Cricetulus griseus: one gene and its partner. The protein of the gene in region 1 binds, or shares a complex with, the protein of each later gene. Links are inferred from orthologs where the notes say so. Each region holds a gene or a part of one and is shown in the gene's direction. Other genes may lie near its edges. The genes, in order: Vamp2 and Stx8.

Region 1 (16,027 bases):
ACACCTGCCTCTGCCTTCTGAGTGCTGGGATTAAAGGCGTGCGCCACCAACGTCCGGCTTTGGGCATGATTCTTAATTGCTAATTGACATAAGAGGATCTGGCTCACTGTGGGCAATGCCACCACGGGCAGATGAGCGTAGGCTCTTTAAGAATACTGGCTGAGAATGACACAGGGAAGCAAGGCAGTAGGCAGTGGCCCTCTGGTCCTTGTGGTTTCTGCTTCAGTTCCTACCACCAGGTTCCCACCCTGGTTTTCTTTCATAATGGAGTGAAGCCTATAAGGTTTCATAAACTCTGTCCTCCACAAGCTCAGTGTTGATTAAAGCAACAGAAAGCAAGCTAGAGCAATCAATCCTCCTGCCTTCTGATAGCTGAGATTACAGGTGTTTGCAGCCACACTCAACTCTGGGGAGTTTTTAAAATAAATTTTGAGTAGATTATATATTTATGCATAAATATATGATTTATATTTGTGATAAGAGATATAAGAGAATACTATAAAAGAATACTGGCACATTTAACTGTACAAGAAAGTTGGGATGGGGTATAGCTCAGTGGTAGAAGGCATGCTTAGGATACACTAAATTCTGAGCCTAATTCTTAGTTCAAAACATTAACACTCTGCACAGTAGCTGGTGATGGTAGTGCATTCTGATAGCTCCGGAGAGTGAGGCAGGAGGATTACAAGTTTGAAGCCAGTCTAAGAGACTTGGGTGACACATTGTCAATAAAAACAAGCAAACATATAGCAACAAAACTTATGCATAGTAAAAAAAAAAAGGCAAAAGTTAAAAGCCAGATGATACTGTTGAGAAAATATTTGTAAATCATTTTTAGAGAAAAAGTTAATGCTGACATAAAAATCTACAGATCTCTAAGAAAAATACAAAAAACTTAAAAGCATACAATAATTTTTGTTTTTTTGAGACAGGATTTCTCTGTGGCTTTGGAGCATACAATAATTTTATAGGCATTTCACAGATAAGGAGAGTTAAAAGAACTATTAAACATGTGTAGTGGGCTTTCTTGGGCCACCAGCCCCCAAATCATGACAGAGACTTATTATTAATTATGAATGCTCAGCCTTTACTTAAAATTGTTTCTAGCTAGCTTTTTATTTCTCATCTTACTTAATCTACCCATTTCTATTAATCTGTGTGCTGCCTGGGGCTCATTTATCTCATCTATGTGCTGTCTGTCTGGGCCCTTGCTGTCTGTCTAGGCCCTTGGCTGGCTCCCTTTTCTCTCTGCTCACCAGCCCCTCCTATCCCCCTTCTCTGCTTAGCTATTGGCCATTCTGGCCCCCCCCCCCACATTCTGCTTTTTATTAGACCAATCAGTTGCCTTAGGCAGGCAAGGTAAAACTGCAACACTGTCTTTACATAGTTAAACAAATGCAGCATAAACAAAAGCAACACACCTTACATAATTAAACAGATGCAACACATCTTTACATAGTTCACAAATATTCTAACCCACAACAAACATGTGAAAAGGTCTCATATCATCCACCCTATGAGAAATGAAAACTGTGTTTAGTTAATATGTTTATTTATGGCTGAGGCTGGGCGGTGGTGGTGCACTCCTTTAATCCCAGCAGAGGCAGCCGCAGGAGGATCTCTGTGAGTTCGAGGCCAGCCTGGTCTACAGAACAAGTTCCAGGACAGACTCCAGAGCTACAGAGAAACCCTGTCTCAAAACAAAACAAACAAAAAACCCAACCCAAAACAAAACAAAAAAATGTTTATTTTTAAGATTTATTTTTACTTATGTGTATGTCTATGTCTGGGTGTGTATGATGTGTGTGCGGATGCTTGAGGAGACCAGGAGAGGGTGCTGAGTCTTCTGGAGCTGGAGTTAAAAGTTGTGAGCTGCTGAATAGAGACTGGGGACTGGGAGCCAAGCTTGGGTCCTCCAGGAAAGCAGCAGATACTCTCAACCACGCCTAAAAGGTTTCATAGCATCTAGGAGATGTGGGTAAACAGGCCTTACCTGTTTGCTGGGTGGGAAGAAAACTTGGTAGCACACCCCTGGAGAGCAACTTGGCAGTATCCATCAAAATCACAAGAACCTTTGGGTTTGGGATTTATTTTTCCAGCACTAGGGTTGAATCTAAACCCAGTGGTGCTAGGCAGGCACTCTACTAATGGATTGCATCTCTATTTCTTTTTTTTTTTTTTAAGATTTTATTTATTTATTATGTATACAACATTCTGCTTCCATGTATATCTGCACACCAGAAGAGGGCACCAGATCTCATAACGGATGGCTGTGAGCCACCTGTGGTTGCTGGGAATTGAACTCAGGACCTCTGGAAGACCAGTCGGTGCTCTTAACCTCTGAGCCATCTCTCCAGCCTGCATCTCTATTTCTTTACTCTTTTCAGTTTGATATGTTGGGTTTCCCAGGCTGACCTTTACTCTGTAGTCTAGACAGCCCTGACACTTGTGATTCTCCTGCCTCACCCTCCTGAGTACCTGGATTAGGTCTCCCACCAGGCCCATCTCCATCTATGGTTTGATTTCCTTTTTTTTTTTTTCCTTTCTTTTCTTTTTGGTTTTCCCAGAAAAGGTTTCACTGTGTAGCCCTGGCTGTCCTGGAACTACCTCTGTAGACTGGACTGGCCTCAAACTCAAGAGATCCATCTGCCTCTGCTACCTGAGTACCGGGATTAAAGTGTGTTCTACTGTGCCTGGCTTTGAGCTAGGATTTTCATATTTAGAAATTTACCCTACATATTTTCGTATAGGTAAAATCGGAATGTGTAGAATGTTCTTGGTAGCTTTGCTTAGGTTGAGCCGGGCATTGGTGGCACAAGCCTTTAATCCCAGCAGAGGCAGGCTGATCTCTGAGTTCGAACAGAGCAAGTGCCAGGATAGGCTCCAAAGCTACACAGAGAAACCCTGTCTTGAAAAAAAAAAATCTTTGCTTAGGTTGGCTTAAGGTTAACAATGACCTAAATGACTGTGTATAGTGGATCAATTAAATCATGTTATAGCCATACGGCAGGGTACTACAAATCATAAAAAATGTGAATATTGTACCCTACATATAACAGAAAATCTCCAAATTATGTTAAATGGAAAATCGTAGTGCAGAGCAAAACAGTCTATATAGATTGCTTACATTAGGACGAAAAGATTAAAGACTATGTCTGGAAGGAGGCCCAGGCACTGGGGTGTCAGTTGTTGGGAATGGGGCACCCGGGACTCAAGAACAGAAGCCGTCTTTTGACCTATGTGCTCTTCTGAAGTTCTGAAACTCTGAGTAAAACTTATGTATTCATTAATTTGTTTTGGGGACAAGGTCTACCTGTATAGCCTGGCTGGCGTCAAACTCCTGCATACTTTCTTTCTGAGACTCTTAAGTATTAGGATTACAGGCATGTGCCTCTATGACCAGCAAAAAGTTTTTGAGGTGATAGGGGCTCAAACCCTTGAACATACTAGTCAAGCACTCTACCACTGATCTACATTCCAGCACTAAATAACTTTTTATTTTATTTTGAGACAGGGTCCAACTGTCTCTACCTCCCCAGTGTTGGGATAAAAGGCCATACCACCACACCAGGTCCTAAGAAACTTTAAAAAAATAAAAGCACAGGACTGGTTAGCTGGTTCAGCTTGTAAACTGCACGCTGCCAAACCTGACAGCCTTTGTTTAATCCCTGGTATCAACACGGTAGAAGGAGAAAACCAACTTCCAACAAGCTGTTTTCTGACACCCCCCCCCCGCCCCCAACAAATACAATAAATAAATTGTAATAAGAAATAAAATAAGTTCAGTGGTGGTGACACACATCTTTAATCCCAGCACTCAGGAGGCAGAGGCAGGAGGATTTCTGTGAGTTCAAAGCTAGCCTGGTCTACAGAGTGAGTTCCAGACCAGCCAAGGCCTGTTACACAGAGAAACCCTGTCTCAATAAATAAATAAATAAATAAAATGACATTTGAGTGTCTGTCTGTCCAGGTCACTAACTCAATTTCACCCTCAAGGAGTGCATGTGTTTTTTTTTTTCTTAATAAACTATTTTTATCACTCAAAACAAAACAAAACATTCTCTTCTTCCTTCCTTCGTTCCTTCGTTCCTTCGTTCCTTCGTTCCTTCCTTCCTTCCTTCCTACAACTAGCTCTTGTAGACAAAGCTGGTCTCCAACTCTCAGAGATCCACCTGCCTTCTTTCTTTCTTTCTTTCTTTCTTTCTTTCTTTCTTTCTTTCTTTTTTTTTTTGAGACAGGATTTCTCTGTGTAACAGCTCTCTGACTGTCCTAGAACTCTGTAGACCATGCTGGCCTCCAGCTCAAAGGGATCCACCAGTCTCTGCCTCCTGACAACTTTATTTTCCTTAAAGACAGGGTCTCACTATGTAGCCCTGGATGGCCTGGGACTCAAATTGAGGTACCAAAAATTAAAATTAATAAAAGTTTAAAAACTTAAGCCCTGAAAAGGAAACGTCTAATGGAAAAGGAAAATTTAACTCCTTAAATCAGGAGTGCCATGGCTGTCGCCTGATCCCATGCTCTCAGAGAAGGGGAGCTAACTGTCCACCACTCCTGTTAACATTCCTTTGCTAATTACTGGCCATAAAGATCCCCCAACCCAGGGGATAACTGACAGACCCTGTGACCCTGCAATCCTACAAGCTCATGCCCTGTCTTATCTCAGTCAAATGTATCTCCCTTAAAATGTATAGTTACTGACTAACTCTGTACTTTGTATGACCTTAAGTAACCATGGAAACTCTGTAATTTGTGGCCTTCAACCTTATGGTCTGCCCCTTTAAAAGCTTCTCTTTTTGGCTCATTTGCCTGACATGCAGTGAGATCCTAGCTGGCCAGCTTGAAATAAAAAGAAACCTTTTGCTTTTGCATCAGAGTGTCAACTCCTTGGGTTAGTCTCTGGGCTCTGAGAACTTGGCACAACAAAATGAGATCTGCCTGCCTTCCCCTTGAGTGCTGGGGTTAAAGATCGGCACCACCACTTTCCCTACTTATTTATTTATTTATTTATTTTGAGTCTTACTTAGTACTCTTCACTCCTGATATGGTGCTTTGTATTTGGGTAGGGAAACTACACAGATGAAACAGATACCATTTAAAACAACTAGGTGCCATGATATAGGCTTGTAATTCCAAAATTCAGTAGACCAGCCTGAACTATACAGTGAGACCATGTCTCAACAAAGAAATGGGTCCAGTGACATGATTCACCAGGACCTGCTGCCAAGCTTGATGACCTGGGTTCAGCCACAGAATAAGGTGGAAGGAAAGAAAAGCCTTTAAGTTGTTCTTTGATGACCACATATGATTTCCCAATAAATAATACAATTTTGGGGGGAGTTCTCTGTGGCGTTGGAGGCTGTCCTGGAACTAGCTCTTGTAGACAAAGCTGGTCTCCAACTCTCAGAGATCCACCTGCCTCTATCACCCAAGTGCTGGGATTAAAGGCGTGTGCCACCACCACCCGGCTAAATAAGGCAATTTTGAAAGCAAACAAGATAGCTAGGAGTGGTGGTGTGGTGTTTTAATCCCAGGACTCAGAAGGCAGTGGCAAGCAGATCTCTGTGAGTTCAAAGCCAGCCTGGTCCATATAAGTAAGTTCCAAGGCAGCCAGGGCTGTTATATAGAGAAACCCTATTTCAAAAACCAAAACAACAACAGAAAGGAAAAAAAAAAAAAACCTAAATCAAAAAACACCACAAGATAATACTTTTATTATTTGTGTGGGTATATTTTCTAGAAGAGGGCTTCATCCCCTGGAGCTGTAGTTGTAGGTAGTTGTGATCCACCTACTGTGGTTGCTGGGAACAGAGCTCCTCTGGAGGATCAGCAAGCACCTCTTCTCCAGCCACAAGGTGTGACTTTTATGTGTATACGTTATCCTTACTACAAAGACTTGCCGAAGGGATGCCAATAGGGCTGGGAGGCAACATCCTATAGTAGAGCTTTTTCTTAAAATGCACAAGACCCTGATTTCAACACCCAACATTGCAAACACAAGCAAGGAATCAAACCAAACCTTCCTGTCTGTGAGGAAAAGTCAACATGAAACCAAACCAAATCAAAAAAAGACCCCATCGAAGCAATGCTCTAAGCTTAGCTCTGCCCAAATATGTCAATAATGTATCAGTGTGTCAAATGCTATCAACATTCATAAGGGTACAGCTTGTAATAGCAAGAAATTGGAAACAATCTAAAAGTTGATGAGAGCTGTATTGAGAGGACAAACAATAAGGTCCCAGAAATTAATCACTGGTTTCTCAAGGTTTGACTCATGAGGATGGAAGGAGTTCATGAGTCAGTGTGGGAATGATCCAGCCCCCTTCAGCCCCAACTTAAAACGCTGTGAAGAGGATGACAATGGAAGCAAGCTTTTATTAAAGTGTGACCTCTGTATGGCCTACATCAGAACCCTGAAGGAGCTTCTTAGGAGTAAACCTTGGGCCAGGCGGTGTTGGTCCATGCCTTTAATCCCAGGACTTGGGAGGCAGAGGCAGGCTGGTCTTGAACTCAGAGAGATCTGCCTTCGGAATTCTGGGGTTAAAGGCATGTGCCACCACCACCACCACGTGGCAGCTTAACCACTGAACCATCATCTCTCCAAGCCCCAGTCTTTCGCTTGTTTTGAGACAGTATCTCATTTGGCAGACCCATCTTAAACTCTGAATTCTCCTACTTTACCGTCAAGCGCAGGGGTTATGAACATGCACCACTAAGCATAAAAAGAGCTTCAAGAACTGGGCCTAGCAACTCAACTGTCAATCCCCTGAAGCAGGCAAATGTAGACGAGACCCTTTGAGATTAAGGCTCTCCGTTATCCAAATACTGCCTGTGCTTCGGCTCAAGTCTGAGTCTCAGTCGTACTGTTTGCAGAAAACATTCTCTACACATTTCCAGGTGAACCGGGTCGTTCCACCGCAGCCTCCTCCCACCCCCAGCATTGATCTAAATTTAGAATTTCTTAACACCGCAGTGGAGATGGGCTGGGCTGGGCTGTACAGTGACAGTTCTCTCTCTGAGTCCTACTGGGTCCTTTCCACTGTTAACTCTGCTATTGCTGTCCCCAGAATCCCCTGGGAAGAACAACTTTCCCAGGGATATGACTAGGCCTAACCTCCCCAGGTTTGTCTGTGACTCTTGTCTCTTCCATAACCTCTGCCCTTTGCAATTGGCTAGACAACATGAGTATCGTCCCTAAACCAGAGTCTGAGATCTTACTGTTTCCTTTCCAGTCGAGGCAGAGCTGGGCTGTGTGGGGGGCTCTGCTTACAGTTGCTCTTTTCCCACTCTCGAGGATGTTTCCTATCTAGACACTAAAACATTTAAACTTGAAATAATGGAATTTGGCATCTTTGTTCTCTGATTAGAAAGGGGGTCTCAGGGACAGAAAACTAGAGCCTCACGGCTGATCTGAGACCCCCCCACCGAAGCGGCTCTTCTCACCAGCTCAGCCTCACGAAGAGCAGGCTCATGGCTTCTCCTGGGAGAGGGAGGCAGCCAAGAGCGAATCCGGCCCCAGCACACACTCCCCTGCTCATTCACCTCCCCCAGACAGCTGGGAAATAACACCTCTCACGACACAACCGGTCCTGGGGCGGCTGCTGAGAGGGGGTGGGGCACTGCTGCAGCACAGGAGGATCTCACACCCCGGAGGCCCTGGAGTGGGAGGAAGGACGCCAGACCCTGCCTGTCTTTGAGATTAAGGCTCTTTTGGGGATGTAATAAATACTCCCACCTCAGAGTCACTAGTCCTCCCCTAAAGTGCCTCCTTCACCCCGGAGGCTTGCTAAATAGACAGCTGGCTCCCTGGTCCTATCTCTAGATGTAGGATGGGAGTGTGTGCAGCTGCTGTGGCTGTTTAGCGTACTTAAAATGGAGCAGTCAGGGATGGACCAGGTCTAAGATAATCTCCTATTCTATTGTCTAGATCAAGCCATTGAGCAAATATTTATTGACTGTCTACATGTGTGATGTATTCAGTTGGTTCTGTCAAGGCTGGGCAGTTGACCCCAGTCGGGGACCAGCCTGCGCTTACCAGGAGGCACAGCACCTCCAGGCAGCCTTTGCCCTTCCTGGAGTCTTTAGTTTGTCTCATCTTTGTGGGGCCCCCTCCAAGGACACCTGGTCTGAACTTTATCTGTGAGGAGGGGCAGCTTTCACAGTTCTTAGTGTGTGTATGTTTGTGCATGTGTGTGTGTGTGTGTGTGTGTGTGTGTGTGTGTGTGTGTGTATGCGTGTGTGTGGGGGGGGTCGGGGGGGTTGTCTTCTGTTACTCCTTTTGCTCATACCCTGCTAGGAAATCAGAGGCCCGAGACCTCCCTTGAGCCATTCAGTTGCAGGGTGATGATGATGGGTGAGGTCAGTTCTCACAACTCCCCAACCCCAGCGTCAGGATTCCAGTTGTCAGTATTGCCCTGGCCGCTTCTCATTTTCCACTCTGAGGGAAATCCACCCTTTCCAGGAGCTAAGGGCGGGTCACCAGGTGTTGGGACCAGTTGTAGGGCGAGACCTTAGGCTGTGTGAGGTAAGGACCGGTGTATCAGCTTCAGGGATGAGGGAGGGTGTAGTTTAGGGGTGAGGTGTGGGTCTCGGTTGTGGGTACCAAAAGAGGCAGGTGGCAGATGCCTTGGGGGATGGCGGTGGGCTTGCGGGCCAGGCCCACATCGTAGGGTCGACAGAGCCGACTAGACGACCCCAGCCCCTGCAGCGCCCCGCCCCGCGGTCCGCTAGCGACGTGTCGCCTGCCGCGCCCCGCCCCCGCCGCAGTGCCCGGATGCGGGTGACGTGCGGCCGCCATCTTCCAGTCCCGGGCAGCCAGCGCCAGTCGGAGCCAGTGCGAGCCGCCGCGCGCCGCCGCCGCCGCCGCCGCCGCCGCCATCACTGCCTCTGCCAAGTCTCTGCCCGCTGCCCCCGCCATGTAAGTCGGCCGCCCGCCCGCCACTCGCCACCCTCTACCTTCTGCCCCGCGCGGGCCGCCACCCCGAGGAGTGGGCCGGGAAACACGGGGGTCCCGCCCGCGCCTCTCGTGCCGCGGACCGGGCTGGTGTCCGTGACTGCGCTTGGACGCCCGGAACCGGTCCCGGGCGGTCTGGCACGGGCGATGGCCGCAGGAGGGAGCGGACCCAGCGTCTACCCGCCCCGCCCCAGCCACCATGGCTGTCAGTCATTTCGGGTCGACCCCGGGCAGCATCTCTGAGGTCGCTTTCCTTTAACCGGCGGGGAAATTGAGGCATAAGGAGGGTCTCTCAAGGTCACGCAGCTCAACCGCAGCGGGGCCGTAGAATGGCTGGGTTTCCCATCGGGTGGCTTTCCTCCCGCAAGGGAGGACTGGAGGGACTATGGATGGACAGGTGGATGGGTGGAGCCCCGGCCGCAGGGCCCAAAGGCCCTGAATCTTAATCCGTTTCTCCTCCGTAGGTCGGCTACCGCTGCCACCGTCCCGCCTGCCGCCCCGGCCGGCGAGGGTGGCCCCCCTGCACCCCCTCCAAATCTTACCAGTAACAGGAGACTGCAGCAGACCCAGGCCCAGGTGGATGAGGTGAGTGTGTCAAAAGTGTAAGATGATGGGACTGGCAAATAGGTGTGGGAGCCCATCTTGGCTTGAAGGTGATGACAGTTTTCACGCTTGTGGGTTTTGGGTCAGAGCCCTGCCTTGTCCCAGCTCCGTTTCCCTGTCAGCATGCACTTGGAAGGGCTGTGGGGTGATAATCAGTTGTGCTAGCTTGGGGTGTGCCAGCTGGGGCAGGTGCGCTCTGGTCAAAGATGAGGGTGTTGCTGTGGTAGCTGAGGTGTATGGCTGCAGCATGCCCCTGATGTGTGCTCCTTGCATGTCCCCAGGTGTGCTAGGCATGTTCTTTGTATGTCCTTGGCATGTTAGCCTGGAAACATCGGGGTGCATGTTCCATGTGTGGCACATGGGCACGTGTTCAAGAAGTGCCCTCCTTGAGGCGTGCCTTGGCACACCCCCTGCCTCGTGGACCCCTCCCCCAGGTGGTGGACATCATGAGGGTGAATGTGGACAAGGTCCTGGAGCGGGACCAGAAGCTGTCCGAGCTGGATGATCGTGCAGATGCCCTCCAGGCAGGGGCCTCCCAGTTTGAAACAAGTGCAGCCAAGCTCAAGCGCAAATATTGGTGGAAAAACCTCAAGGTAAGGGGGACGGAGATGGGGACAGGTAGGAGGGCCAGTGGGTGACTGGGGTGTCACCATTGGTCTCATGGACCCTCCCTCTCACTCCTAGATGATGATAATCTTGGGAGTGATTTGCGCCATCATCCTCATCATCATCATCGGTGAGTGGGGCAGGAGTGGCCAGGGCCCTTTCCCGGGAGAGGTAGAGGCTTTCCCTGTGGATTCTGGGTTTTGAAGGTCATTAACCTAGTTTTTACTCTTCAACAAAAACACATTTTGCTGCTATTGGCAATTCTGATTCATCAAGAGCCAAAGCACTTGGCTCTTGTCTAGCCTTACTTTGCCTAGTTCTGGATAATTTCTGTTAAGATTTTGAAAATAGGAATACTGGGTGGGACCCCCGGCACTCTACTAAGAACCATTTGGGCCTCAGAGCCCAGTCTGGGCTACTAGAACTGGGGAGCAGGAGACAGTAAGGGTTGAGGGGCTCGGACACCACCAGGAAACCAACTATTTCACTATTTGAGCATTTGTAGTCACATGCCCAGTAGATTAAAAGTTTTGTGCCCCTTTGTCCTATCATGGAGTTTACAGGATCTTAATACCCACTTATCAAGTCCCTTTGCTATATAGATGAAGAAATGAGACAGAGAGGGGAAGGGATGTCAGACAGTGGGGGAGTGGGGAGGTTTGGAACAGGGCCAGGCCTGACACGCTGCTTTCTTTCTCTTTCTACCCCTCTCCCTCGTCCTCCTCTTACCCTCTCTCCACAGTTTACTTCAGCACTTAAATCCCTGAGGAGTCTGCCCTGCCTAAGAAGGGCCTCTCTCCCACCCCCAGCCGTTCCTCCACCTCTCAGCCATATCTTTCAGCCCCCCTCCCTTGGATCCGTGTGTGTGTGTGTCCGTGTGTGTGCCCCCTGTAAATAGCCAGCTGTTATTTATACATATATAATATTATATATATTTGGTCTGTTTGTAGTTTTATTACTAGAAGATTTTTTCCGGTTGTCCTTAACACCCCTTCCTGAGGTTCCCCTCACCTCTCTCTCTCTCATCCTCTGTCCCTTTTCCTCTTCTCCTGATAGCCCTAAGTCCCTTCATTTGCATCTGCTATGCAATAGCCCCTTTTCTTCCCTTGGATTTAACTGACCCTTCCCCTAGCTTCCCTAAACAATTCCTGACCCTCCCAAGACAAAAAGCAAACTCCACAGAAACAAACAAACACTCCTACCTGTCCAGGCTTCCCTAGGTTGCATCTTTGAATCCCTTGGAAAGCTCTGAGACTGGTCCCACTTGGTCCTAAGAATCCCAGAATCCCAAGGTTTTCTGGGAGCTTCCAATATATTAATTAGCTTATCACTTGCATAATGTCCTTTTAGTTTCCTTTCTGTTCCACCACTCTTTACTCTTCTGTTTTTCCTTTCTTTTCTGAAGAGTTAGTCTCCATTGGTCCTCTAATCACACTTCATTTGCACGACATTACCTGCAGGTGGTGGGGAGCCTGGGCTTTTGGGGAACCAGGCTCTGGGCCCCAGAATTGCCCCCTCCCAGCCCCTCTAGTCTAGTTTACCTCCTTTACCCCATTTTCCAAACCTGTTGTACCCTCCTCTCCCTCCCCCCAGCCGGTGTGTAAGTGTCTTGGAGTTCAGTGTGTCATGATGGACCAATAATTCTGCCACTCGGAGTCTCTCCCTACATTCCTGCTCCCCAGTTTTCATGTGGGGCACTCAACTGACATTCCCAGGGGGTCTCCCTCCCTCCCATCTGCCTGATTTGCCTCCTCCTCCCACCAGGAGAATTGGGGATTGACCACAATCTGATTCTTTGAGGAGGGGTGGCTCCAGTGTGTGTGTGTCATCACTGCCTTGGGGAGGAGTAGGACAAAATAGAATCCCCCCAATTCCTGCCTGAAACCTCTGGCCTCATCTTGCTAGAGGTCGGACTGAAAACTTTCCTCCCCAATCTGGGGAGGGGTGTTGCCCCCATCACTGCCCAGCTCCTTTGACTGCCCCCCTGTATTCAGGGCGGGGGTATTAGTCACTGCCAATATGTGTATGGGACTTGCTGGATGATGGGGATCCTGGCCTTTCTCCAGGGCTGTTGAGCCCAGAGAGAGAGGGGGAGAGAGAGAGAGAGAGTGCAAGCTATTCCCTTTTTGGGTGAAATGACAGAGGAAGGATCTGATCTTTTTAAATGGCACAGTTTTAGGGGTCTGAGGGTATACAGCTCCTTAACCTGCCACTGGGGTGGGGAGTATCCCCAGAGTCTTCCCCCAAAAGGTTTTCTGTGTGGAGGGGAACCAAGGAGATCTAAACTGTGGTGTGAAAGGGTAGGAGAGATGCTGGGGGTGGGGGTGCTTGTGTTCTAGACCCCCAATATTATCCCAGTGTCCCCTGCCTTCCTTCTTCCCCTACCCCATGCCCCCGATTCTGTGGCGCATCCAGATTGTGAAAATGTACAATAAACGTGTAATGAGTAACCAGGTGGTGTCTACAATCTCTTTCTTAACCAGTAGTAAGAGTATTGAATCTTCAGTTATAGTGGGGTGGTTGAAAAGATTCACTGGGAGGAGCTGGCCTGTTGCTGCACGCCCTGACCCCAATTGGACCCTTGCAAAGTGTGATTCACAAAGTGGCCATGTGGGGCACCAGGAGACAAGAATTGAAAGTATCACTAAAGAACATGGGATCTAAGCCAGGTGAACTGGAGTATGCTGCTACCATTGAATTCCTTTATCTCTTAAAATTTGCTCTGGTTACCCCTTAGGCTCTTTCATAGCCATCCACTCCTGGGCTACTTCTGTAGATGGCTTGATGAATGCATGAAAGGGTCACCCTTATGAGACAAAGCCAGCTGTGGCATAAAATGGCATACCTCCCTTGCACTCTTATGGGATTTTGTTTTAAGATTTATTTATTATGTATACACTGTTCTTCTGTTCTGTCTATATATAGGCCTGCTGGCCAGAAGAGGGCACCAGGTCTCATTACAGATGTTGTGAGCCACCGTGTGGTTGCTGGGAACTGAACTCAGGACCTCTGGAAGGGCAGTCAGTGCTCTTAACCTCTGAGCCATCTCTACAGCCTGTGGGATTGATACTTTAGCCCCTCTCTTGAACTCTCAAAGCACTGTCTCCATGTATACACTTTAGGGGCATCAAAGAGATGTAGCTGTATAGGAAAGAGGCAGTGTTTCTGGTTGTTCTCTATATTCAGGATATGAGGGACTAGTCACTGCCTGTGTGTGGGTACTTGGTGGATGATGGTGACTCTTGCCTCTTCAGGGCAGTTGAACCTAGAGAGAGAGAATTGAATGGCTAAGAACCACCACTAGGCTGACCGTTGGTGGCGCACGCCTTTAATCCCAGCACTCGGGAGGCAGAGGCAGGTGGATCTCTGTGAGTTCAAGACCAGCCTGGTCTACAAGAGCTAGTTCCAGGACAGCCTCCAAAAGCCACAGAGAAACCCTGTCTTGAAAAAACAAAACAAAAAAACCACCGCTAGAAGGCCATGTGTGGTGCACGCCTTTAATCAACCATGCAGGAGGCAGAGGCAGGCTGATTTCTGAGTTTGAGGCCAGCCTGATCAACATAATGAGACCCTGTCTAAATAAAATAAAATAACATTTGGGTTTTTTTTTTTGGGGGGGGGGCAGACAGGGTCTCAACTATGAAGCTCTGACTGTCCTGGAACTCATTATTAGACCAGGCTGCCCTTGATTTCAAGTGCCTCTCTGCCTCCCTCGAGCTTCGATTAAAGGCATGTGCTATAACAAACCTGACCAAGAAATAAGAACTATTAGAAGTACTTTTTCTTTTAAATTGGTTTTTCAAGACAAGGTTTTTCTGTGTAGCCCCTGGCTGTCATGGAACTTGCTCTGTAGACCAAGCTGGCCTTGAACTCAGAGATTTGCCTGCCTTTGCCTCCCAAGTGCTGGGATTAAAGGCATGTGCCACCACTGCCCGGTTTAGAGGTACTTTAAAAAATAGATTTTTTTTCCCCACCAGTGTTGGTGGTGCACCCCTTTAATCCCAGCACTCGGGAGGCAGAGGCAGGTGGATCTCTGTGAGTTCGAGACCAGCCTGGTCTACAAGAGCTAGTTCCAGGTCAGCCTCCAAAAGCCACAGAGAAACCCTGTCTTGAAAAAACAAACAAACAAAAAAAACCAAAAAAAAATTTTTTTTCAGGCCCTTTCATTGGACATTATTTTAGAGGTTCTAAGGTGCCCAGGTGTCTTGTATTTAGCAATACTCCACCGTAACTTCTATCTTTATGGGAGAGTTTAAATACGTTAGGCTTTTTGCATTTAATCCCTGAAATTACTTCTAGGCTTAAGGTTTCCATAGGCCTAAGACACCGACCTACCTTCACGGTGTCAGAGCTTTTAAATCAACATGTTAACATGGGAATTCTGACAGATTATGTAACCCCTGCATCTCAGTCTCTGTGAGGTTATGAGTAGTCATCAGGAGTCTGCAAGAAGCGTCTGATACAGAAAACAGGAGGCGACTGTCATTTTCACTATCATCGTCATGCAATCTAAAGACCTCTTCTTATGTTCAGATTTAAGCTTTGGGGATAATCGGAGACACAAAACTCGGGCACCAGGAGCCTCTTGTCTTGGCAGGGTCTCTACTAAGTATCCCCACTACGCCATAGCCTGTCACATCTACGCCTGCGTACAAGTCGCTCGGCAGGCCTGCGCAGACTCCACAGTCTTGGGTAAGTGTCGTCAAGGAAAATCCCCAGCTTCTCGGTAAACAAGTTGCCGCGTGAGCCGGCCCGCACGTGTTCCCTACATCTCCGAGACCTCTCAGCCTATGAGAAAGTTTTTAGGGCAGGGCTGGCATTTGCGTCACCGATTTAGGCAGGGCGGGGCTGTTTCCACAGCCAATAAAAGCTTTGGGAGTGGGCGAGAGGTGTGGCTTCCGGTCAGATGTCCAATCAACGCGCTGGGGCGCCCCCTCCCTCACGTGGCTCTATCACTACCGGTTGTCATGTTGCCCAATGGTAAGATGACTGCGCCCTGAAGTGCCAATGGTGGCTTTGCAGGGGCTTGTCGGCTGCACGCGGCGCGGGGCATGGGTTGGCGCCTGTAAGCCAATAAGCTTGGGAGGCGTGACAGAATGGGCAGTGGGAAGGCCTGGAGGAGCCTGTGGAGTAGCTTCCCAAGTAGTGAAGAAATTTGGATTCTGCGTGCGATCGGAACTGTGAGTAGCCCCCTACTCTGGGGCGGTCGAAATGGGTTTTTCCCGGGAGGATTGCTCGGCCAAAAGGGGTGTCAGTGGCGTGGTGTGTGTGTGTGTGCGTGATCATGCAAATGCGCGATGGTTGCAATAGGAGTGCTTGACGGTTGTGGACTGCAAACTCAGCTCTAGGGGAACATGGATGGGAGTTACTAGCATACATCTCTCAGCTCTCTAGGGTCCCTAGACCCTATTGCCTAGCCTAGAGTGCTCAGAAGCCCTCAGCCACCCGAGGGAGCTGAAGGGCCTGCGATAGGACGCCTGAGAGTTGGTTAAGGTTTGGGTAGGCTCCCTAAATACTTGGAGAGGCAGAGTCTGAGCCTGGAGAAAGGCCCTGGTAGGGCAGGTGGGAATGTGGGATGGTATTCTGAGAAAGGTTGGTGTGCTGATTTGTGTGACTCGGAAGCTATCTCATCACGACCATGGGTTACTTTTTCACGTGGAAAGGATAGCGTTGGGGTCTCAGGTACATGCTTGTAAACAGAAATGAGCTAGCGATTTATTGGATTCTGAAAGGGAGAATAGGGTAGAGGGTTTCTATATACCGGCTTGCCCACTCTTCTCGACTTGCCAGAGGTGAGGAGGCACCAAAAGGCTGCTCTGCTGTCTAGACAGGCCTGGTTGAGGTGGGAGAGGGAGGAAGTGAGGT
Region 2 (16,209 bases), about 1.1 Mb from region 1:
AGCCCCCAATTAAATCCTTTCTTATACAAGTTGCCTTGGTCATAATGTCTCTTCATAGCAATAGAACAGTAACAAAGCTAGAAGTTAGTACCAGGCAATGTCATATTGCTGTGGCAGGCCTGTTCATGCTGCTTGTTAGTGGAATGTGGACTTTGGGACTTTGTATTAGGGCAGAGGATGAATGCTGTAAGCATGGCTTAATGGGCCATCCTCAAAGGAGCTTGGAAGACAGTAGTGCTGAGTGCAATGTGGACTATGGAAGCAAGAGGTAACAGAGGTAAGAAATATTAGCAAATAAGCTAGAGATCACTTTTATGACATTTTGGCAAAAATGATGCTCTTTTTTGCCCTTGTCCTAAAAATCTTCCAGAGGCTCTGGACGAATGTCTAGGAGATTTCAAGACAACTATGTCATATGGTTATTGGTGATCACTCTTATACAGATCTATAATGAAAAAGAGGAAGTGGGGCAAAAAGAAATTAAAAAATGTACATGTGAGGAGAAAAAAAAAAAAAACACCAGGAAAAGTAGTGTTGGAGTCAAATCTTGTGCTCAAGGAGATAAGTTTAAAAACAGACCTGATGCTAAGTGGGATGAAGGGAGTGGTACCTTAAGGCTCATACCTTACCCAGATAATCTGCAACTCGCAAAAAGGAAAGCTTGAGTAACAAAGGAAAGCATCAACAAGTCAAAACATCCGAAAATGTAATGCAGGGAGGGACCACTTTCTATCCCTAACAGGCTGTAATGCTAAGCAGCTTCAGCCACCTGTTTCTGGCTTTATCAGTATGAACTGATAAAGGGGCTGTGAAATCTTCCTCTGTGGCTAAGCAAAACCCCTGAGGCCAGGTGTGTGGCAGGGGAGTACTTGCATGGTGGCTCAGAAAAGCCACTTTTTAAAGCCATGAAAGTGACACCTGGATTGCATTGGAGACCCCAAGATGTTAAGAGATGCCAGAGCCATGGTATGCCTGCTAAGGATAAATGCAATCAGGAAACAGTCCGAGAGAGAGAGAGAGAGAGAGAGAGAGAGAGAGAGAGAGAGAGAGAGAGAGTTGCAGTTAGCAAAGCTGGAAGGAGTTGGAGATCCTAAAAGTCCTTGGACAGCAGACATAGAATTACAGAATTTGGAGTTAGTCTTCCTAGGTTTCAATCTTGCTTTCATATTTCCTTGCCATGCTCCCTTTACTCCCCTTTGGAACAGTAATGTATAGTCTGTGTCATTGAATGCTGGCCTATGTAATTTGCTACAGAGGGTCACAGTTAAGACATTGCCTTGAGGACCAGAACAGACTTTAAACAGTGTTGAGACTGTGAAAGACTGTGGAGACTTTTGGAGTTACACAAAATGCATTTGCACTATGATATGGCTACCAAGTCTATTGGGGCCAAAGAGTGGAATGCAGTGGTTTGAATGAGAATGGCCCTATAGGCTCATGTTTGGATGCTTGGTCCCTAGTTTGTGTAACAGTTTTTGTAACATTTAGGAGACTGGCCTTGTTGAAGATGTATCACTTGAGGGATAGGCTTTGAGGTTCACAAGCACATGCCAGGAACACTGTCTCGTCTCTCTCTCTCTCTCTCTCTCTCTCTCTCTCTGCCTACTGCTTGTGGATAAGCTCTTAGCTACTGCTTCTGCACTATGCCTGCCTGTCTCCTGCCATTCTCTCCACCACAATGGTCATGGACTCACCCTCTGAAACTATGCACAAGCCCCCAGTTAAATGCTTACTTTTGTAAGTTGCCTTGTTCACAGTATCTCTTAACAGCAACTGAACAGTAACTAAGACAGGTGCATATGTCTTCAGTTACATAGTGTCTAAGTTGAGGCTTCTATGACTGTGTAGAGACACCATGACCACCGCAAACATATAAAGGAAAACATTTAATGAGGGCTGCTTAGAGTTCAGAGGTTTAGTCCATTGTCACCACGGTGGGAAGCATTGCAATAGAACAGTAGTGCTAGAGAGGTAGCTGAGCGTTCTAAATACGGATCTGACATCAGTAGGAAGAGACTAAGACATACTGGGCCTAGATTGAGCATCTGAGACCTCAAAGCCCACCCCAGTGACACACTCCCTCCAACAAGGCCACTCCAATAATGCCACACCTCCTAATAGGGCCACTCCCTGTGGGCCTATGGGAGCCATTTTCTTTCAAACTACACATAGTTAAGATTCTTGCAGCCAGACATTGGTGGCACATGCCTTGGGAGCACTTGGGAGGCAGAGGCAGGCAAAAGTTCGAGGCCAGCCTGGTCTGCAGAGCGAGTTCCAGGACAGGCTCCAAAGTGAAGGAACCAGCTTCCCTTTTGGCAGCCATAACAGCCGAACACGTGCTTGCCATAAACCTGCCTTGGTCACTTAGAGGTCAGATGCCTGTCTCGTGACAAGGAACCTTAGTCACTTAGAGGTCAGATGCCTGTCTTGTGACAAGGAGCCAATCAGAGGTTAGCTGGTGGCGCTATGCTTTATGACCCTGGGTGTGCTTTACGGACAAGCGCACAGCAATGATGTAGAGAGCATAGCAACCACCCTGGGAGGGCCTATGGGCCATAACAACCAGTTGACCAATCAACACAGGGCAAGCCCTCCAAGCCTGGAGGCACACCAATCGTGAGCCTGTGCGTACCCCTAGACTGCCCTATAAAGATCCCCTTACGCTGCCCTATAAAGATCTATGCGCAGCAGCTTCAAGCCGTCTTTTCTAGCTGTCCGCCATGGCGGGTGGGTGAAAGACCCGAGCTAACATGGGGTTAGCTCGTTAAATTACAATAAAGCCTCGTGCAGTTTGCATCAAGCTTTCGCCTGCATTCTGTGTTTGGGGTGGCCGCCGTCCTGGACTAAGATTCCGGAAGCCTCAGCTTTCTGAGGGTCTTACAAAAGCAATACAGAGAAACCCTGTCTTGAAAAAACCAAATTGATGGGACCAGCTCCCCTTTCGGCAGCCATAACAGCTGAACACGTGCTTGCCATAAACTTGCCTTGGTCACTTAGAGGTCAGATGCCTGCCTTGTGACAAGGAACCAATCAGAAGTTAGTTAGTCACTAGAAAGTCAGATGCCTGCTTCGTGACAAGGAACCAATCAGAAGTTAGCTGGTGGTGCTATGCTTTATGACTCTGGGTGTGCTTTGCGGACAAGCTCACAGCAATGACGTAGAGAACATAGCAACCACCCTGGGAGGGCCTATGGGCCATAACAACCAGTTGACCAATCAACATAGGGCAAGCCCTCCAAGGCTGGAGGCACACAAATAGTGAGCCTCTGCGTACCCCTAGACACTCCCTTTACGCTGCCCTACAAGATCTCTTGGGAGGCCCTAGGAGTTGTCTTTTGTGAGCCATCCACCATGGCAGGTGGGTGAAAGACCCGAGCTAACATGGGGTTAGCTCGTTAAATTACAATAAAGCCTCATGCAGTTTGCAGCAAGCTCTCGAATCTGCCTGGTGATTGGGGTGACCGTGAACGTAGCCTGGGACCCTGGATACCTGAGTTTTCTGGGGGGTCTAACAAAATAAATAAATAAATAAAATTGTAAAAAATTCTTGGTTGCAAACAAAGAGAGTCAACTCTGGCTAAATAGAGAAGAAAAATAATTTCAGGAAACACAATCAATATATGTGAAAAGTGGGCAGTAGTAATGAGAAAGCAAGGCCATACCATAGAAACTAAACTATCATGATCACAATACTGGGCAGTCAAGGCAAGATTTTAGGCCCACAGTGCATGGCTCCTTCAAGAGGGGAAATTTGTGTGTGTGTGTGTGTGTGTGTGTGTGTGTGTGTGTGTAGGCAGGCCTGAGGTTGAAGACAGATTGTCTTTTTCCATTGGCTCTCCACCTTATTTTTTAGGATAGGGGCCCTCAGTGAACCTAGAACATACTGATTGGTTGGACTGACTCTGTCTGTCCTCCCTGAGCCTTCTAGTCCTAGGGTTTCAGATATCCACCACTGTGCTCAGCTTTTTATGTGACTGCTGAAGACCCAAACTCAGGGTCCTTATGGCTGTGCTGCAATCACTTTACAAATGAAGCCAACTCCTCTTTCTAAAGGTGGTGCAATTTATACTTCTAGCAATTGCAAATGAAAACTCCTTAGTCTCACCTTTGTAAGCATAATCCATATATTTAGCCTTTGCCAATGTGAGAAATAAAAAGTGATGTCACTTTTAATAACACTTTTAGGTTTTATTTATTATTATTATTATTTATTTATCATTTTATTATTATTATCAGCATCATTACTATTACCATTATCTATTTTAGGAGTTTAGCTTTTTGGTTTTTTTGAGACAGGGTTTCTGTCTCCAGCCTTTACCAGGTTTTGACCTGGGAGGAATGACAAACTAAGCGAGTTGGTTCTGAGTATATAAGTTTTACTTCACACTTATGGTCAAAGTAACACACACACACACACACACACACACACACACACACACACACACACACACGCATAAGCAAACAATCCTAAGAACCACAGACAATAGGCTCATAGCAGGGGGTTACCTCTCCTGCAGTGGCCTCAAGTTTGGGGCTGGGACTTAGGCTCCTCTGAATTCAGGCTGCCCAGTCTCTTGAGGTCGTGCTGTTGGGTTTCAGAAAGGGCGGCTCTCCGTTTAATAGACTGGTTGTTTCAGGTTAGTGGAGGAGAGCTCCAGGACGTAGAGTCGTGGTACACTCTAAAATTCCCAGTTCTGAGCTGGTCCCTTAAATAGCTTGCTAAATCTTGCTAATCACACTTTGCCACACACCACACATTTTCTCTGGGTAGTGGGCCTTATTCCCTTTCTTTTAATCTTTCTTCAGCCAGGCCTTTTCCTGCCTGGTCACAGCCTCCTCACAGTTTCTCTGTGGCTTTGGAGAATGTCCTGGAACTCACTCTGTAGACCAGGGTGATGTCTAACTCACAGAGATCGCCTGCCTCAGCCTCCTGAGTGCTGGTATTAAAGGTGTGAGCCACAACTGCCCTGCTGAGTTTAGCTTTTTATAGAGAGCCAGGAAATAAATATTTTAGACTCTTTGAACCATACAGTCTCTGTTGTTGCTACTCATCTCTGCTAGAACAGTGTGAAAGAAGCCATAGATTACACCAGGCATTGGTGGCACATGCCTTTAATGTGCTGGGATTAAAGATGTCCACCACCCTTTCCAGCTTGCTTTCAATTTCAGATTAGTTCCATGGAAACTCTAAGCTCCATTACCTAGTGTTTAAGGCCTCTGATCTCTGAGCCCAGGTTCTGTTTCTTGTCCTAAAGCTTCAAGCAAACTATTTGCTATTCATTAAGCAAGCCCTATGCTGTCTATTTCCCCACATTCCTCCCCTATTCTGGCTATTTGGAATCATCTGCACCCCAATCCTTAGTCACTGATTGTCCTATCCTATTTTAAGGACTATTTAAATTCAAAGAGGTCACTCTTTCCTTGACTTCCTTCAAGTCTTCAGTAAAATGCTTTCTGCCATGGGCTTAAGAAAGTCTCAGCAAAAAATGAAGCGTGCATACTGCTCTTGCAGAGAACCTGAACTCACTTCCCAGGATACTCACAACCACCTGTAAGTCCACCTTCATGGGATCTCATGCCCTCTTCTGGCCTTCATGGGTATCCGCACTTACATGCCCATCCCCCACCCAATAAACACTGGAGAGTTGGCTCAGCAGTTAAAAACAATGGCTTCTTTTCCAAAGGACTCGGGTGTTTGATCTCTAGCAGTCACATGAGCCTCACACTGGTCTGTAACTCTAGTCCCAGGGGATCTGATACTGTTTTCTGGCCCCCGAAAGTAAAACATAAAGCACTCATACAAAGTAAAAAAAAAAAAAAAAAAAAGAAAAAAAAATCAACCTTTCTTCCAAATTTTGATAAACCTTTCCAATTCATTCTTCTGATAGCTAGTTAGTATGTGTCTTAGGAATTCTATTGCTGTGACGGAATACCATGACCACGGCAATTCTTATAAAGGAAAAAACATTTAATTGGGGTGGCCTACATTTTCAGAGGTTTAGTCCATTATCATCGTGGTGTGACATGGTGGCGTGCAGACAGACATGGTGCTGGAGAAATAGCTGAGAGTCCTACGTCTTGCAGGCAACAGGAAGTGGTCTGTCTGACTCACTAGGTTTGGCTTGAACATACATGAGACCTCAAATCGGCCTCCATAGTGGCATATTTCCTCCAACAAGGCCAAACCTTCATTAGTGCTACTTCCCTTTGGGTGCCATTTTCTTTCTAACAACTGCATTATGTTAGCAAGAATTCCATTTCAGATCTCTGCCTGTCTTTGCACTGGCTCACCAGATGTTTTTGCAGTTCACTAGGGGTCACTCCTTATCAGTAATCTCCATCCATCTCTAAAGACCATGCTGGCTCAGATACAGGAAATGCTGGCTTTCAGTTAGAGCTGTAGAGTACAATGAAGACTCAGGAACTAAGGTCCAAAGTGCTTAAAAGTTTACTCAGTAATCGTTCTGCACTACATTCTTACAACTAACTGTAAAGCTTCCAGGCATCACAATTCGATTTTTAAAAAGTTGGTTTTACCCCCAAAATTTGATTCCGCGACTCCCGAAACACGACCCCTCCCCCATCACAGCAATTTCTGGCATTGTTTATGACAGCCACAAGTAATGACAGCGGCCAGGCCTCTCCAGAATCAACAAGGACTCTCCCTTGGCGGTCTCCCTTTACGTCCTCTTCCCTCCCATCCCTGTCTTTTAAACCTTTGAGAGTCCTTACTTGGGACAGAGGACACAGAGCACCCCTAGAGCAGTTCCACCTAAGGCCTTTCTCAACTGTAGATCAGCAAGGGGTGTGGAAAGGTGTTTTTTTGTTTGTTTGTTTGTTTGTTTGTTTGCCCCAGGTTGGGTGTTACCCGGGGATGCATGGGGGTGGGGGTTGGGGGAATATTCAGAGCCAAGGACTGCTCCCAGGGGTGCGTGTGTGTGCGCGTATGAGAGAGAGAGAGAGAGAGAGAGAGAGAGAGAGAGAGAGAGAGAGAGAGAGAGAGAGAGAGAGAGAGAGAGAGACTGAGTTAGGCACATTCCAATTTCTGAGGCTCGGGAATGAGGCTAAGATCCTTCATCACCGTGGGTGATGCCTGGCTAGGCTCTTGCCACTGTCCCCACGGCCTCTCAGGTGCCACCAAGTCAGTGTCTCACTTGTCCCTGGGGTATTATGGATGCTCCAGGCCTCACCATTGAAGCCGATCACAGCCTCAAGCTCCAGTTCGGCTACGTCGGTCTCGGTTTCGGGTAAATTTTGTTCTTCCATCTTGGAGAATTTCAACTCATTGATTCCTCAACTCCTGGCTGCAGCGTCTTTTGGTCGTTATGGTAACTGGCGCACGCATGCGTGCTAGGTTTACGCTGGAGCAGAAATCCAGCCCACTGAGTTCGACTTTATTTACCTTTTTGTAAATGTAGGGAGGGCTTCCTTATTATTTTTTTCACTCATTCTAGAAATTTAGGTGTTAGGTGAATACTGAATATGCAGAATGAATTCCCTCGTCTCCCGTGTAAACTCTGACTTTTGTCTTAACTATAAAATTAAGCCTCTTATGGTAACTATTAAAAGTAATTGAACACAGAGAATTGCCTCTGATGCGTAGGCTGCTATTAAAAAACAAAACAAAACAAAACACGGAATTGATACCTCCTTGTAAAAGAATTCTTTTTGAAAAGATCACTTTAAAAATTTAAGTACAGTATGCAACTATTTTCATGTATGTATCACTATGAACGTTGCTTGTATGAATATTTCCGGCTTCAACCTTCCAAGCACGGCAAATTCAGGCGCGAGGTATCACAGCCGGCTTGCTCTGTTGTTTTTGAATCAGAAAAAAAGAAAAAAAAAAAATGCGAAGAACTACGAGAGCCGGAGTCTGAAGCGCTTCCATCCCTGGGAAAAGGTTTTGATTCTGCTCAACAATTTAACCATTTTCCTTGCGTCCAGCAGTTCGTACGAATTAACTAAAAATCGATTGTTGCAATCCACTGTCTCCCAGGGGTGAGCTTTGGTTGGTGTGGTTTTGAGGCCCCTAAAATATGTTTTCTGTGCTGTCCGCTGGGCTCGGGTCGCGCACCTTCCGAACTGCGGGGAATGAGCCGCGCGGGCCGCCGTAGTCAGCTGCTGTGAGCAGGAAGTGTCCCAGCTGCAGGCGGAGACTGCACCATGGCCCCGGACCCCTGGTGAGTTGCTGGTGTTGGCAGTAGTTTGCCGTAGGACTTGGGGTGGAAGTGGCTCCCAGGGATTCGCATAAACCCTGGCCATCGTTGAACTTGAGGCTGTCAGCTTTTAGGGGTGAGCAAAGCGGGTGAGGATCCTTTCCCTGTTTTGGGGACCCAACCACATCCCGCCTCCCCGGCGCTAACTCGGTGGTCGGAGGGGGACACCGTGACCTGGGGGAGCTGGGACTTGAGCAGAATCGATATTTTCCCCCGCCTTCTGTGGGGGCTTCTCGCCTAACCTGCCTGTGGATGACTGCGTGTGTAGACTCCCCTGGGGTCCTGTAAAAGTGAAGTAGAAATAACCTTTTGGTGGGATGTCTCTGCCTTCACCCATTAATCCCCAGAAAGGGAAGAAACTGAGGTTCAGACTCCATGGTCCCCAGCCAGTTAGTAGTTAGCTGGGCATAGGTGTAATGGGCTCTTCACAATAAGACTTGTAGCAATCTGGGAGGGAAGTTTGCACTTGTGATAGGCAGTTTACCCTTTCCTGTGTCAGTATCATGAAGACTTAACGTCAGCAAGAACTAGTGCAAAAGTCAGCACCCGATAAGGGCCATTTATTCAGCAATGAAGCCCCAAGGAAAGAATGAAGAAAATGTGTTCACACAAGGAACACATTGCTATACAGTCTTGACCTTCCTGTTTAATAATTTATAACATTGTATTTCTATAAAGTTCTTGTTGGAGGATATGCCTTATGTGGGTGTTTCTGGTACAGTTTATAATTGTTTGATGGCAGACAATTTTAAGTATTAGGAGAGTGGATCCCAAGGTCAGAGTTAGAGTTACCTGGGATTTGAGATATTTGGGCTAGTTGCTGAAATTTTCTTGGGCTTTCATTTGTTTGTGTGCTTTGTTTCCATTGTCTCAGAGAGCCCAGTCTGACCTTAAATTCCTGATCCTCTTGCTTCAGTCTAAGTGGTTCGATTACATGCAGCCACCATGCCCAGGAAATTGCTGAATTTAACACTTCTTACTCCCCCCCACACACAAGTTTCAACAATTGTGTACACCCCTGGTAGAAAATTTGGAGACTACTGAGTATCTGCAGGAAAGAAAATAAATAGCATCTTCATCATTTGGAAAGAACCAATGTTAACTTCTTTTGAAGACTTTTATTGTTTGAATCTATATCCTGCTTGTATTTTACACAACAGGAAGCGTGTCTCCATATCATTAAGTAGTATTTAAAAATGATTTTTACATGCATATCAGTACATCATCTGAATGTTCATATATTTCAGTTTTTCTCAGTGGTAGAACTTACTACATGCAAGGCTTTGAGTTTGGTCACCAGCAACACAAGAAAGCTTTCAACTGTCAAATGAGAAAGCCACTGAGTAAAACAATTGAGACTAACAGTAAAAGAGTTCTAATGCTTCAGTGTCTTGGGGTAAAATTCCCCTGAGTCAGATCTCATTAGACTACTGTGCCAAGTTCTGTAGAAACTGACCTCTGCTAATCTGTCCTATTTAAATGTACCCTGCTAACAGGGCCAGTACTTGGTCAGGCATGCTTTCTTCAATTCTTCTGTGCTTGTGCTTTCCATGGTGTTTAGATTTCACCCCTCCTTCCAGTATGGAAATCTGCTTTAGTCTGGAAGTCAGCCCAAGATGTCCTCTTGCAGCCCAGCCAATCTGAGCACCTCTGACATCAGTAATGTCTCCCATCCTAACTCCAGAGGTACTTAATTTAGGTCTCGTATTTGATGGAATTGTGTTATGGATTTTATATGTTTGATCTGCCCTTACAGAGCAAGACTAAGCTCCTGTCTTCATAGCTGATAGTGTGAAGGCAAACAAGTAAAATGTGGGGAATCCGGGGCTAGGACTATTTTCCTTATTGCCTCTCTTTTTAAAAAATTTTATATATAAGCCAGGTGGTGGTGGCAAACACCTTATATCCCAGCACTCAGGAGGCAGAGGCAGGCAGATCTGTGTGAGTTTGAGACCAGCCTAGTCTACAAGAGCTAGTTCCAGGACAGCCTCCAAAGCCACAAAGAAATCCTGCCTCCAACACCCCCCCCAAAAAAACATATATAATATATATTAACCACCTGCTCTTTTTCATACACATACCTATACCTGAATATACTGAATGATGCATATTGATGTATATGTGAGTCTAGGGTTAGGGGTGACACTGTCTCTGAAGTGCTTGTGAAGTTCACAACAAAGTTCTCTCTGTAGGACCTGGAGCCACATCCCCAGCCCAAGTTAAACACTTTTCTTCTTTCTGATGCTGGTGATTGAGTCTCGTGCACTGAGCTATGCCTTTATTCACTTTTTAAAAAAGTTTGAGACGTTTCGTTAAGTTACTTCAACCTTACGGTCTGCTCCTTTAAAAGCTTCTCTCTTTGGCTTGTTGGCGTCTCATTTCCCCACCATGGAGTGAGATCCAAGCTGGCCAGCTTGAACAATAAAAACAAACCTTTTGCTTTTGCATCAGTGTCTACTCCTGGGATTGGTATGGGACTCCTTGAACCTGGCACAACATTTTCTTTTCTTCTCTCTCTCTCTCTCTCTCTCTCTCTCTCTCTCTCTCTCTCTCTCTCTCTCTCTCTCTGTGTGTGTGTGTGTGTGTGTGTGTGTAGACCAGGCTGGCCTTGAACTCACAGAACTCTGCCTGCCTCTGCCTCTGCAGTGCTGGCATTAAAGGCCTGTGTCACCACCACACCCAACCAGGACTTTATTTAAAGAACTTTAAACCTCTTCCTCTTTGTATGACTTTGATTTCAGGTTCTCCACATATGATTCTACTTGTCAAATTGCCCAAGAAATTGCTGAGAAAATTCAACAACGAAATCAGTGTGAAAGAAGAGGTGAAAAGACACCTAAGGTAATACCCTTAGAAGAGTTAATGTTCTGACCTTAGACGTCTGAAAACATATCTAGATCGGGGTCATGCTCTGTGTGTGTGTGTGTGTGTGTGTGTGTGTGTGTGTGTGTGTGTGTGTGTGTGTGTGTGTGTGTGTGTGTGTGGTGTACATATGCACGAGTACCCCAGGAGTGTGTTTTGGTATGTTGTATCTAATTTTCTTTTCCCCCAATTTGATAAATTATGACTGGTCCCCTAAAATATAAAATAGTCTATATTTCATTCACTGAATTTTTTTGTTTTAGTTTTTTATTTTTTATATATTTGAATTACAAACAAGATTGAATTACAAGACAATCCCAGTTACCTTCTCCCTCCCTTCCTCCCCTACCACCCCCCCCCCAACTAAAATCCTACTTGTCATATGTCCTTTCTTCTAATCTATACCTGACTCAACCTTTCTGCTTCCTCATGACCTCTGCATCCTTCCTTTTCTTCCCTTTTCACTCTCGTATCTTCCTCCCCCCTCTTCCCATGTTCTCAATTTGCTCAGGGGATGGTGACCCTTTCCCCTTCTCCAGGGGACAAAGTTTGTCTCTTTTAGGGTTTTCCTTGTTTACTAGTTTCTCTGGCAGTGTGGATTGTAGGCTGGTAATCCCTTACTCTATGTCTAAAATCCACTTATGAGTGAGTACATGTCATGTTTGTCTTTTTGTGATTGGGTTACCTCGTTCAGAATGGTTTCTTCGAGTTCCATCCATTTTCCTGCAAATTTCAAGATTCCATTGTTTTTTTCTGCTGAGTAGTACTCCATTGTGTAAGTGTACCACATTTTCTCCATCCATTCTTCGGTTGAGGGGCATCTAGGCATCTAGGGGTTTCTGGCTATTACAGATAGTGCTGCTATGAACATCGTTGAACAGAAGTCTTTGTTGTATGAATGTGCTTCTTTTGGGTATATGCCTAGGAGTGGAATTGCTGGATCTTGTGGTAGACTCATTCCCATTTTCTTGAGGAGTCGCCATACTGATTTCCAAAGGGGCTGCACAAGTTGGCACTCCCACCAGCAGTGGAGGAGTGTTCCTCTTTCTCCACATCCTCCCCAGCATAAACTGTCATTGGTGTTTTTGATTTTAGCCATTCTGAGAGGATTAAGATGGTATCTCAGAGTTGTTTTGATTTTCATTTCCCTGATGGCTAAGGATGTTGAACTTTCTTATATGTCTTTCAGCCGTTTTAGATTCCTCTATTGAGAATTATCTATTTAGTTCTGTACCCCATTTTTTAATTGGATTGTTTGGTGTTTTGGAGACTAGCTTCGTGAGTTCTTTGTGTATTTTGGAGATCAGCCCTCTGTCAGATGTGGGGTTGGTGAATATGGTTTTGTCTTGCTGACTGTGTCCTTTGCCTTACAGAAGCTTCTCAGTTTCAGGAGGTCCCATTTATTAATTGTTGATCTCAGTGTCTGTGCTACTGGTGTTATGTTCAGGAAGCAGTCTCCTGTACCAATTAATTCAAGGGTATTTCCCACTTTGTCTTCTAATAGGTTCAGTGTGGCTGGGTTTATGTTGAGGTCTTTGTCCATTTTGACTTAAGTTTTATGCAAGGCGATAGGCTTGGGTCTAACTGCAGTCTTCTACATGTTTGCAACCAGTTATGCCAGAACCATTTGTTGAAGATGTTCTCTTTGTTCCAGCGTATAACTTTGGATTGTTTGTCAAAAATCAGGTGTTCGTAGGTGTGTGGGTTAATATTAGGGTTTTCAATTCTAATCCATTGGTCTGTCTATTTTTGTGCCAATAACAAGCTGTTTTCAGGACTATAGCTCTGTAATAGAGCTTGAAGTCAGATGATGCCTCCAGAAGTTCCTCTATTGTACAGAGTTGTTTTGGCTATCCTGGGTCTTTTGTTTCTCCATATAAAGTCGAGAATTGTTCTTTCAAGGTCTGTGAAGAATTGTGTTGGGATTTTGATGGGGATTGCATTGAATCTGTAGATTGCTTTTGGCAAGATTGCCATTTTTACTATGTTGATCCTGCCTATCCAAGATCATGGGAGATCTTTCCATTTTTTGGTATCTTCTTTAATTTCTTTCTTTAGAGACTCAAAATTCTTATGGTACAGGTCTTTCACTTTTTTGGTTAGTGTTACTCCAATGTATTTTATGTTGTTTGTGGCAATTGTAAAGGGTAATGCTTCTCTGATTTCTTTCTCCACCAATGTGTCATCCGTATATAGTAGGGCTACAGATTTTTTTAAGTTAATCTTGTATCCTGCCACTTTGCTGAAGGTGTTTATCAGCGGTAGGAGTTCCCTGGTAGAGTTTTTCGGGTCACTTATGTAGACTATCATATCATCTGCAAATAGTGAGAGTTTGACTTTTTCCTTTCCGATTTGTATTCCCTTGATCTCCTTTTGTTGTCTTATTGCTCTAGCTAGAACTTCAAGGATAATATTGAAGAGGTAGAGAGTGGACAGCCTTGTCTTGTTCCTGATTTTAGAGGAATTGCATTGAGTTTCTCTCCATTTAACTTGATATTGGCTGTTGGCTTGCTGTATATTGCTTTTATTATGTTGAGGTATGTTCCTGTTATCCCTAATTTCTCCAGGACCTTTATCATGAAGGGGTGTTGGATTTTGTCAAAGGCTTTTTTGGCATCTAGTGAGATGATCATGTGATTTTTTTTTCCTCAGTCTGTTTATATGGTGGATTACCATTGATGGATTTTCGTATGTTGAACCATCCTTGCATACCTGGGATGAACCTTACTTGGATGGATGATTTCTCTGATGTGTTCTTGGATTCAATTTGCCAATATTTTTTTGAGAATTTTTGCATCAATGTTCATGAGGGATATTGTTCTGTAGTTCTCTTTCTTAGTTGTGTCTTTGTGTGGCTTGGGTATCAAGGTTATTGAAGCCTCATAAAAAGAGTTTGGTAATGACCCTTCTGCTTCTATTGTGTGGAATACTTTGAGGAGAATTGATATTAGCTGTACTTTGAATTTCTGGTAGAATTCTGCACTGAAGCCATCTGGCCCTGGGCTTTTTTTGGTTGGGAGACTTCTAATGACTGCTTCAATTTCATTAGGGGTTATGGGTCTATTTAAGTTGCTTATCTGTTCTTGATTTAATTTTGGCAAGTGAAATCTGTCCAGAAAATTGTCCATTTCCTTTAGATTTTCAAATTTTGAGGAATATAGGTTTTCAAAGTATGACCTGATGATTCTCTGGATTTCCTCTGTGTCTGTTGTTATGTCCCCCTTTTCATTCCTGATTTTATTAATTTGCATGTTCACTCTTTGTTGTTTGGTAAGTTTGGATAAAGGTTTGTCTATCTTGTTGATTTTCTCAAAGAACCAACTTTTTGTTATATTGATTCTTTGTATTGTTCTCCTAGTTTCCATTTTATTTATTTCAGCCCTCAATTTGATTATTTCCTGGCGTCTGCTCCTCCAGGGTGTATTGGCTTCTTTGTTTTCTAAAGCTTTCAATTGTGCTGTTAATTCTCTAGTGTGATTATTCTCCTGTTTCTTCATGTGGGCATTTAGCTCTATGAACTTTCCTCTTAGCACTGCTTTCAAAGTATCCCATAGGTTTGGGTATGTTGTATCCACATTCTCATTGAATTCTAGGAAATCTTTAATTTCTTTTTTTATTTCTTCCTGGACCCATGAATTGTGCAATTGGGTGTTACTTAATTTCCATGAGTTTGTAGGTTGTCTGTCGTTCGTGTTGTTGTTGAATTATAATTTTAAGGCATGGTGGTCCCATAAGACACAGGGGATTATTTCAATATTTTTGTACCTGTTGAGGTTTGCTATGTTGCCAAGTATGTGGTTGATTTTAGAGAAGGTTCCATGTGTCGCTGAGAAGAAGGTAAATTGTTTTGTATTTGGGTGGAATGTTCTATAGATATCTGTTAAGCCCAATTGCGCCATAACTTCTATTAGTTCTTTTGTTTCTTTGTTAAGTTTCTGTCTGGTGTTCCTGTCCAGTGGTGAGAGTGGGGTGTTGAAATCTCCCACTATAAGTGTGTGCGGTTTTATGTGTGATTTGAGTTTTAGTAATGTTTCTTTTACAAACGTGGATGCCTTTGTATTTGGGGCATAAAAGTTCAAAATTGAGACTTCATCCTGATAGATTTCTCCTGTGATGAGTAGGATGTGACCTTCTTCATCTCTTTTAACTGATTTTAGTTTAAAGTCCAATTTGTTGGATATTAGGATTGCTACCCCCGATTGTTTTTTGGATCCATTTGATTGGAAGATCTTTCCCCAACCTTTAATTCTTAGGTACCATCTGTCTTTGAAGCTGAGGTATGTTTCTTGTATGCAGCAGAAGGAAGGATTCTATCTTCTTATCCATTCTGCTAATCTGTGTCTTTTTATAGGGGAGTGAAGACCATTAATGTTGATGGATATTAATGACCATTGATTATTGTTATTCTTGTTTGTTTTTGATTTGGTGATGGTGGCGAGATTATGTGTGGGATTCTATCCATTTTTCCTTTTGGCTGCTGGTAAAGTGGGTTTATCTATTGCCTATATTTTTCTGGTTGTAGTTAACTTCCTTGGGTTGCAGTTTTCCTTCCAGAACTTTCTGTAGGGCTAGATTGGTGGATATGTATTGTTTGAATCTGGTTTTGTCATGGAATATCTTGTTTTCTCCATCTATAATGACTGAAAGCTTTGCTGGGTATAGTAGTCTGGGCTGGCATCCATGGTCTCTTAGTGTAAGTACAATATCTATCCAGGACCTTCTGGCTTTCAGAGTTTCCATGGAAAAGTCAGGTGTAATTCTGATAGGTTTGCCTTTATAGGTTACTTGACCTTTTTCTTTTGGTGCTCTTAATATTTTCTCTTTGTTCTGTATGTTTGGTGTTTTGGTTATTATGTAGCGAGGAGACCTTTTTTTTTTTTGGTTTAGTCTATTTGGTGTTCTGTAGGCTTCTTGTATTTTCATTGGCATGTCTTTCTTTAGGTTGGGAAAGTTTTCTTCTATGATTTTGTTGATATGTTTTCTGTACCTTTGAGTTGGATTTCTTCACCTTCTTCTATACCTATTATTCTTAGGTTTGATCTTTTCACGGTATCCCATATTTGCTGGATATTTTGTGATAGGGATTTGTTGGACTTAAGATTTTCTTTGGTTGATGAATCTATTTCCG

Evidence for each region.
Region 2: Vamp2 (region 1) and Stx8 share a complex: the UniProt entries of both Homo sapiens proteins name them as parts of the SNARE core complex. The link is inferred for Cricetulus griseus from reciprocal best matches to the Homo sapiens genes VAMP2 and STX8.

What each region holds. Positions count from the first base shown.
Region 1 is NC_048600.1:82,952,900-82,968,926, forward strand, and holds Vamp2 (vesicle-associated membrane protein 2), read left to right. Parts: upstream 1-8,772; 5' UTR 8,773-8,915; coding exon 8,916-8,917; intron 8,918-9,417; coding exon 9,418-9,538; intron 9,539-9,990; coding exon 9,991-10,149; intron 10,150-10,240; coding exon 10,241-10,292; intron 10,293-10,904; coding exon 10,905-10,921; 3' UTR 10,922-11,755; coding exon of another isoform or gene 11,756-11,766; 3' UTR 11,767-12,615; downstream 12,616-16,027. UniProt on the Homo sapiens protein: Involved in the targeting and/or fusion of transport vesicles to their target membrane. Major SNARE protein of synaptic vesicles which mediates fusion of synaptic vesicles to release neurotransmitters.
Region 2 is NC_048600.1:81,823,979-81,840,187, forward strand, and holds the start of Stx8 (syntaxin-8), read left to right. Parts: upstream 1-8,048; 5' UTR 8,049-8,166; coding exon 8,167-8,183; intron 8,184-10,960; coding exon 10,961-11,060; intron 11,061-16,209. Other genes in the region: Cfap52 (cilia- and flagella-associated protein 52), read right to left, coding at 7,191-7,266. UniProt on the Homo sapiens protein: Vesicle trafficking protein that functions in the early secretory pathway, possibly by mediating retrograde transport from cis-Golgi membranes to the ER.